Arabidopsis thaliana: one gene and its partner. The protein of the gene in region 1 interacts with the protein of each later gene in a pairwise test. Each region holds a gene or a part of one and is shown on either strand. Other genes may lie near its edges.

What was found. Proteins that work in one complex are often made in the same cells at the same time.
Region 2: the proteins of AT1G68810 (region 1) and SDG20 interact in a two-hybrid assay, tested with the Arabidopsis thaliana proteins (one large-scale study listed by BioGRID).

The regions. Positions count from the first base shown.
Region 1 is NC_003070.9:25,859,360-25,864,080, reverse strand, and holds AT1G68810 (basic helix-loop-helix (bHLH) DNA-binding superfamily protein), read right to left. Parts: upstream 2,988-4,721; 5' UTR 2,793-2,987; coding exon 2,178-2,792; intron 1,691-2,177; coding exon 1,199-1,690; 3' UTR 547-1,198; downstream 1-546.
Region 2 is NC_003074.8:938,181-942,657, reverse strand, and holds SDG20 (SET domain protein 20), read right to left. Parts: upstream 2,759-4,477; 5' UTR 2,683-2,758; coding exon 2,019-2,682; exon of another isoform or gene 1,548-2,018; coding exon 1,147-1,547; 3' UTR 564-1,146; downstream 1-563. Other genes in the region: BPM4 (BTB-POZ and MATH domain 4), read left to right, coding at 2,851-3,305, 4,429-4,477. UniProt on the Arabidopsis thaliana protein: Histone methyltransferase.

The DNA of each region.
Region 1 (4,721 bases):
CATTTTATGTCGCTCTAACAACATGACCAGCTGAGCCCTAATTGCAAGTCTCCACAAAACTTAGAAATCTTCTAAGTTTTTGGTTTGATAATGAAGACGTAATTAACATAAATTAAAATTAAATTCAAGGTTGTCTATAGAGAAAGCCAAAAGAGGAGTCAGTACTAGTCTACTAGACAATTCACATGACCGTCACTTAGGTAAAAATGTTAAAAGACAAATGAAATGGCAGTTAGGGTACAATAGTACGTAAGTAGTACTAAATGATCATAATTATTAATAACGTCGACGTACTTCACTTCATGATGCAAGCTTAACACAAATACGACGTCAATTACGTATGTTCCTCGTCATGACCAATCTCAATCACAATCACTTATCATCCCTATAAATTTACACATTTCTTTAATAACAAATTTTAAATACTTCGATCAAGGACGTGCTCATGTGCAACACATAAAACATAACACACTTACAAAATAAAACTCTGGTTAGAATACCATGTTAAATTTCATGGACCAACCTAAAAAACTAATTGGCTACGTCCTTTATATCTTAGTCTTGGTCCCGATGTTTACCTCATACCAGTCCATGATGCAAATTTATATAAAGCAAAATATTTGAATATATGTAAATCGTTACACGAAAAAGATTCTACAGAACACATAAATACACAAGGCAAAAGAGTCAGAGAAGCATCAACGTACGAAGCTCAGAATCCCAAATTTGTCTCTTTTTGTTTTTCCCCCGGACAGAACCCGACTAAATCAATTAATGATACACATCATCTTTGGTACGTTTCCTGTTCTTCTTCATTGTCTCTTTTTGGTCTCATTCACACAATTGCAAAAATAAGCCAAAATTAAATTCAAATCCTCCCACATGACAAGAGAAAACGAATTTTCCAAACCCATGCATTGCCTTACAGAAATCATACTTTTTTTTCGTCACATACTCCCATTAAGCATATCTAGAAAACCAACTCAACGATACAAGTTTTTAAAAATAAGTATCTTAGAACCAAACCAAAAGTCCAAGACCACAACGGATACAAATACTTCCGTTATACATACACACAAACACACATATATCTATAGTATAACGTGACGTACAACATTCATTTCCATAACCAGCAAACAACACACGTAGTAGATACACCGAAAGTAAGAAAAAAAAAGCGATTTAAGTAAAAAATTGATTACCTCTGATTATATTGTTGTTGTTGTTCGACGATAGTGATAGTGTTGTGACTACTCATTCTCTGTCTCTTAGCATTTCCAGAAGAAGATGATTCCTCTACATTGCTCTTCTCCATCACCGCTTTCAAAGCTTCCTCAATCGTCCCTATACAGTACTCTTCCTCCACTTCCTCACCGGAGCTCTCTTCTCCGGTAACAAACAAAACGTTCTTGACTCGTCCCCCAACGGTGGTTATCTCCGCCTTGAGCGTTTTGAGACGCATAGCTTTCAATGTTTTAATCATGTCAGGCAAGAGATCCGACCTGTCTTCACAGCAAAGCGACGCTTTAATTACAAATCTGCCATCTCCGGTTTCTTCCTCCTCCGTGAAAGCTACCGTTAACTCATCGCTTTCCGTTGGGACAAGATTTGTCTCTGAGATCACTGAAGTCTCTCTCTTCAACTCTTTCACATGTTGGATCACTTCAGCTAGTAACGACGCTTTATCCGTCTGCATTAAAAAAAACGAAGAAAAAACATATTTGTATAGTTTCGAGGAGAAAATTATGTGGTCGTAGAAGTTATGATTTGGTCCGGCAATAAGACTTTTTATGCTTTTTAAGCAGCGCCGGTTGTTTCTCTTTATTACATCAATTAACCAAACGACGACATAGACGTTCCATATTCCTTGCTTTTTTATTTATACTACAGTCTCTGACTGATTCTCTCTCGGGACTTTAACAAATACCCACAAGATCATTGATCAAAACAGAAAACCTTTGAATAACTTACTTCTCCTTTTATAAAACCTAAATGTAAAAAAATAAAAAGAGACAAAATGTGACATAAACTTTCATGTCGCAGCTACTATGTTTTTCCACTTAAACTCTACATTGTTTTAGTATTATTTTTTATTTACAAAAAACTTAAACGGTGTGTGATTGATGAATGTTTTTACTTATGTATGAAAATTTATGTTATAAAAATTTTGGACTTACTTTGGTGGTGTTGGGTAATATGCTACGGAGCTTAGCGAGATGATTATTGATTCTCTCTCTTCTTCTTCTCTCAGCTTCACTATGACTCTTTGAAGCAGCCAAAGCTTTAGCGTCCATGATCTCTTGTGCTGTCATCTTCCCTAACTCAGCTTGTAACCCAAAAGGACCGGACCCGGCTTGTACTACCGGACCTAAAGCTTCCGACAAGATCCGAAGTTGTTCATGATGATGATGTGCTGCTGACGTGGCTCCACCAAAACCCTCGTACCCAAACTGTAATCCCTGATGATGAGCTCGACTTCTGTTGAAGAAACTTCCGTAGAAAGATGCTGGAGAAGAAGAAGGAGGAGGAAACTGATCAAATGGTGGTTGGATCGAGGTAGGTGGAGGTAGAGACCATATTGGAGAGACGGAATCTTGAGAGAAGATAGTGAAACCAGATCCAACGTTACCGGATGCTCCCAAAGTTTCAGATTGAGAAGGATCATGATGATGATGGTGATGATGAGAGATGAGTTGGTGAAAGAAGAGGTCATTTTGGTAATTTTGTATGTTGTTCATGGCTTCAGAACTGTCTTCTTCTTCTTCTTCTTCTTCTTCTTTCTTAGCGCACATATCACTTGTTTCTATGAAGACATGAGAGTCTTCATCTTTCAACTCTTTGTCCTCTTCTCTCTCTCTATATATGTATATATATATGTGTGTAAGAGAAAGGAAAGGTTGGTAAAAGAAGGTAGGAGAAGAAACGAAAGTTAAGAGAGTTAAAAAGAGACAAAAGTTTGCTTTCAAATGTTGTAGACGCAGACATATATAGGAAACTCATGCGTTTGTTTGTTACCAATGGTTTGCAGGATATGTGGAGTTTGCAACTTGTGTTTTGTGTTGTGGTGGAATTATTAAAAAGGTAAAAAAAAAAAGGTAATGGGTTTAAGATTCTTTAGATTATCTATCTTTTAATTTACGCATTTAGTACTTCACGGTCTATTTCTATTTCTATTTCTAATAAGTATATGGACAAGCAATGCGATCGCCAAATATCCATACACAGAAAAATAATTTGTATATATAAAAAGACACAAAAAGAATTTATATATACAAAATGACACATAATACATATCTTTTAAATTTGTTTCAGAGCATCGAAAATATATGAGTCGGCACTATACAGATTTAATTGATTTATATAAATAAAATCTACGCTATAGCACTAAACTAGGTATTAGAGACCACATAATATACGTTACAAATTTGTAGGTATCAACAAAAAATTGATTATTTGTCTTCTATTAGACCACTAACTAGTTATGGGAGAGCACATAACATTGTGTAGGATAGTGATTTGGTTATCTTTTTTTTTTGGTCAATTGTTTTCTCGTTGATATAAAACCATGATACTAATTAACAAATATTAACCAAATTCATGTAATCTAATAATTGATACTAATGTTTCCTTATGTCATCATCCGAATTCAAATCCTCATAACTAAATATTATGACCCTATTATATTGATAAGGCAAATGAGTTCTGACCATAAGGAATTAATGGGCTAAATGAGTTAGATTGTAAAAGATTTATGATTCACCAATATTTACCCACATTTTGTTAAAAACTAAAAAAAAAAGTAAATGATATTCGTTTCTTATTATATTCATGATATCATAATATTATCATATCATCACCATCATACCCCATTATCATCATCATGATCATATAATTTCACAATTTGTTTTTTTTGGTCAAAAACTGAATTTCAATGAATCGTGAATTATGTAATTTCGCAACTTCCAGCTAAAAGTATTTCATAATAATTATTGCTAAAAACACAAATCCACAATTTTCCGCTATATTCAATGTTTCGTAAAAACATGATTTTTGCAGAGAAAACTATATTTTTGTTTTGTTTTGCAAAAGCACGATTCCAAAATTTTGTGCCATAAAGGTGATTTCAAAATTATGATGATAATGGAGATGGTATGAAATGATGATCGTTATGTTATGATGATGATAAAAATGATAATGCGATGATGATGTGAAGACAATGAACGTATCACATATGATACCGATTGTAATAACTATTAATTATGAAAATATGTGATAAATTATTACAAAAATATTTTATGGGTAGAACTATTTTATCATTTTGATTTTCGACCCATCAAATTAGATAGATTAATAGGCATTTACCTCCCCTCATACCAGAAACTAGAACATTTTATATGGTCAACCTATTTACTAAATGGCTTACGTTCTTCGTTCACCTAGTTAACATTCACCCCATAAACATTATGGATCAAATTGGACTGGATTACCCATATTGTCACCTATAAATAAACAAAATTTAACATAAAATTAAATGCTTGCAAAATACTAGTGTCAAGTGCTAATAGTAAACTCGTCTTAAAGTTACAATTGTTATAACTTATAACATAATTTACAAAAGGTTTATATTATGGATTTTATATATATATATATATCTAGATTTAAAATTTATATTTTACAAGCTCTAGGTCTTCATTTGGAATTTATTCATACACATTTTACAA
Region 2 (4,477 bases), on another chromosome or scaffold:
TGTAAATATATTAGTTATGGTTAGAACTAGTATAACAAACTTATGGAAATGCGTACATTGCGTCTGAAACCATTAATTAGCGATATATACATTTGAGATTTATAATCATAAAAATCTAGAGTCCTTTTGCTTATACAAGACGAACACTTATAAACGTTTCCAAAGGGGGGAACTTTCGAAAGTTGTTGAAATGAGAGATATACAATTGCGAAGTATAGAGAAATAAACTTCAGGACATTGACAATAATATGAAATGAAGTACACGATTTAGTTGATAAGAAAAGAAAAGAAAAAAAGTATACACGATTAATTTCCTTTTAGAAAAACCAATCATACATCGATTTGATGTTTAAGTCTAGAATATGTGATGCAATTTAAATTATCTGTTTTTGTTTTCCCTGAGTACCCAAGAATATTGGGCGGAGCAGATTGATGCCAATATCAATATGTAATCAGTACATGCATGCATGTGGTATATATAGAGAGAAAATTGTATGTTTTTGCTTACATAACTTAAATCAACCAGACAACCAGTGATGCATGCATGTGGTATATAACGAAATTCACATGAATGTTCTTTATCTTAAGGAAAAAAGGAAGATAAATCAGACGAAAGTTAATTGTCTCAAAAGGTAAAACAAATGTACGATACAATGATTAATAACAAATTGTATAGTATAGCTAGCTACCACAATCTAAGTATCGTATTCGTACGTAATTTCGTATGGATAGAGAAGTAAGTATATATGTGAGAGTGTCTGAGAGAGGAGAGGCACGAGAATCGTGTTGACCGTTTCGTGTGGAGTTCTTTAGTAAGCTAACCAACCTTCATGTCTGTCGTGCTCCTTTTCTTCACAACATTAATCCTCCCTTTTCTTTTTCCGTACTTTGCCATTTTCAAAATTAGTTTTATTTCACGAAATTCTTAGTATTTCATGACTTCATTTTGGTGGGTTCATTTTCGTGAATTACTTCTAAATTTCCCCCATTCCTTCTCCAAATCAGTAGAGCCGCTATTAATAAGAAAGTGTAACTTCCGAATGACAATGACGGTGCTTGGTTGTGTTTGCTACAAACATAGAACTCGAATTTTTCAAATAATAAGAGTGTTGGACATTAGTATAGCGAGACAAGATGATGATGAATTCAGGTATTCTCACAAGGCAACGTTCCCAAACAGCAGGAACTACCACAAGAGCAGTTTAGCTTGTCGTCTCTGTTCTCTCCGGCCACACTTACGTCTCCATAACTGAAACTTAACTCCTCCTCTGCGATTATGTCCTTTGCTGCAAAGAAACAGAGCCGAGGAAGCAACGCTCCTGAGCTTCTCAACAGAACAGTGGAGAGATTTCCACCGTCACAAGAATGGTTGATGAATCTAGCAACGTTCCCAATTCTTGTGGCGTCGATGTTTATCCTTAAACAAGCTTGTCCTGAAGGGAGGTGTTCGCGTACGACCAAAAGAGCTGAAGCGAAGGATTGTGTTGATCTGAGTTTGTCGTAAATGTTTTGACGTCTACGTGCTTCATCTGTTGTCAATAGCTCACCTATAAGAAGAGACGACAAAATCAAGTTTATGACTTTTGCATAAACCAAGTCATTAAGGCAGATCACAAAGAAAAAACACATTCAAGAAAGAAGAAAGATTTGTCATTATCTCTAATCTCCAAATCCAGCATTGTGATACTACCTCTAAACGATTGAAACAAGAACATTTCGAAAGCTCAGATCTTTCACTGATGGAGATCACTCTTAATACCATGCTAGAATCTCATCTCAACGCATCGAGCTAAATCATATGCAGTCCAAGTGTAAAAGGCTAATAACTAATGCTAATATTCCTCAAATCATGTAATCTTAAGCTTGATTTTCAAGTTCCAATTATCAATCTTCCAAAATTAGTGACCTACTGCAATAAAACGAATCACTATACTATTAGGAAACCAAAAGTTGGTTAACGTTACCTAATGCTAATATTCCTCTAATCATGTAATATGAAATCGAAATGTAATTGTAACCTGCATATTCACAGATGAATTGGCCTTGCTTGATAAGCTGGTCAGCGTACAAGCACCAACCTTTCTTCTCATCTCTCACAATCTTCAAACTAACCGAAACCCCCTTCTGCGTAACCCGGTTCGAACAATCGGACCCGCATCCACAACCCGACCCACATTCGTTAGCTATCTCTTCCATCCCCGCGAAAGCTAAACACTTGCAGTATCCTTCCTCACACCTCTCGCATTCGCATCCTGACTCGTCCACTAAACTCACCCCAAAACGTCCGCTTTCACTCACTGAGTCAAAACAAGGTCTAGACTCCGATCCACATTCATTAGCAGCAGCTCCCCACCATTGTCGCGGCGGAGGAGGAGATGAAGCGGGGATCTGAAAAGGTGTGTAGATGAAGTACGCGTATCGTTGAGAATCGATGGAGTTGTGAAACGGGATTGAGATGTTTTCCAAGGATCGTGCAGCGTCGAGAGATCGGTGAATGGTTAGAGATTTCGAGATTAGGGATAAGGTTTTGCAGGTTTGAGCAACAACGGCGAGTTCTCGAGGGTTTAGCCATGGGAGAATCAAATTCGCACATCGGAGAAATCGATCGGCGGCCGGAATAATGTCGGAAGCTTCTCCAAGACAACGCGTCTTCGGTGGTGGTGACTCTCGCAGTCGCTGCATATTTTTTCTCAGCCAGCGATATACAAACGACGTCGTTGCGTTTAATTCTATTTATATCCTTAAATTCTATTTTAATTTCACTTCAGTAAGAATTTTTTAAAGAAAAATGGCGAGTTTTTTTGTGTTAATCATAACTATAGATTTACTACCGTCGCTTTGGTCTGTGTAATGAAATCTGTCATTTTCACAGAGGAAAAAAACTTACAAAGACAAAATCCATTGCAAAAGAGCGAGCAACAACGACGAAATTTCGAAATGCCATCGCCACCGACGACGACTTCTCTCTCGGTGACACAGACCATAAACGGATCACACAGCTTCACAATCAAAGGCTATTCTTTGGCTAAAGGAATCGGGATCGGAAAACACATCGCCAGCGATACTTTCACCGTCGGGGGTTATCAATGGGCTATCTATTTCTATCCTGATGGCAAGAATCCTGAGGATAATTCGGCTTATGTCTCCGTTTTCATTGCTTTAGCTAGCGATGGTACCGATGTTAGGGCTCTTTTTGAGCTTTCTTTGCTTGATCAGAGTGGTAAAGGGAAGCATAAGGTTCATAGCCACTTCGATCGTGCTCTTGAGAGCGGTCCTTATACTCTCAAGTATCGTGGCAGCATGTGGTTCGTTTCTTCGATTTCTTCTTTTCAATTTTTTTATTTTTCTCTTAGCCATTTTGCTAGGGTTTGGTGAAGAATTGGCTTAGGGTCTCTGATTTCTAGTGAAAGCTCATTACTTTTAGAACAAATTTTGCTCCTTTGTTGGGGTTTATATGAGGTTACGGATGTTATTAGTGGTCAAGACTCAAGAGTGTAGATTGTTGAAGGCAAAATGAGATTGAGCTCACAACATTAAAAAATATAAAAGAGATTGAGAAATTCAGAGGAAATAAAGATACATTAGCTGTGGATTTCTCAATCTGTTTGTTTCTTTTTTGTTGTGTGACCTGTATATGAAATTGAAAGATGGGTGGTGAGAGCGATAAACAATGTTCTTTATTTTTTATGCTGGAGGCTGCTTGGCTTTATTTTTGTGGTCTGCTTGAAACTGTGAGTCTGTGACGTATGGAAAGAGAGAGGGCTTTGAGTAGAAGAAGCAAGTTTCTAGAATATGAAGGTTCTATTACCTGTTTTGGACATTCTGTAACTAGTTTACCTGAACTTTTCATAAACAGAATTTGGTTCCTGCTGCTTCACCAGCATGTAGCGTTGGTTCTGTAGTTAAGGAAACTTGATTGGGAACGAGAGAGGGTTTGGACTGATGATATTTAGGATTTTCTTGAAAAGTATTGTGTTTTCACATGTTGGCATGATTTCAAAGACCTGTCATTGTGATGTTTTACTATATAGGCACCAATTCTTTCAATATGGTAGGCTAATTCTGAAGTAGGAACATTGCTTACTGTTTACCTGCATATAGCAGCACAAACCTTGCTTTTATGAAACTGTTCATGTTAGGTTTGAAACTTCTTGTATGAGTTAAGCAACAGAGTATTGTCTTTTGCTCTCAATATTCGTACATTTGGTTTTCCTGCTTTTTTAAACATCTGTTGTTAAGTCTGCTTGTATGAATTAATCAACCATTGTCTCTGGTTTCTTCTTCTTGAAGGTGATGCCTTTGGCTTTGATTTGTCTCTCTATTAGAAAGATCTCATTGCTTATTAATGCAGAGGAATAATTCCCTCTTAGAGTTTTGTACTTCCCTGTTTCGCTCAACGGATCCTTATTCAATTTTATATGCTTACAGGGGCTACAAGCGCTTTTTTCGAAGACTTATGCTGGAAACATCTGATTTT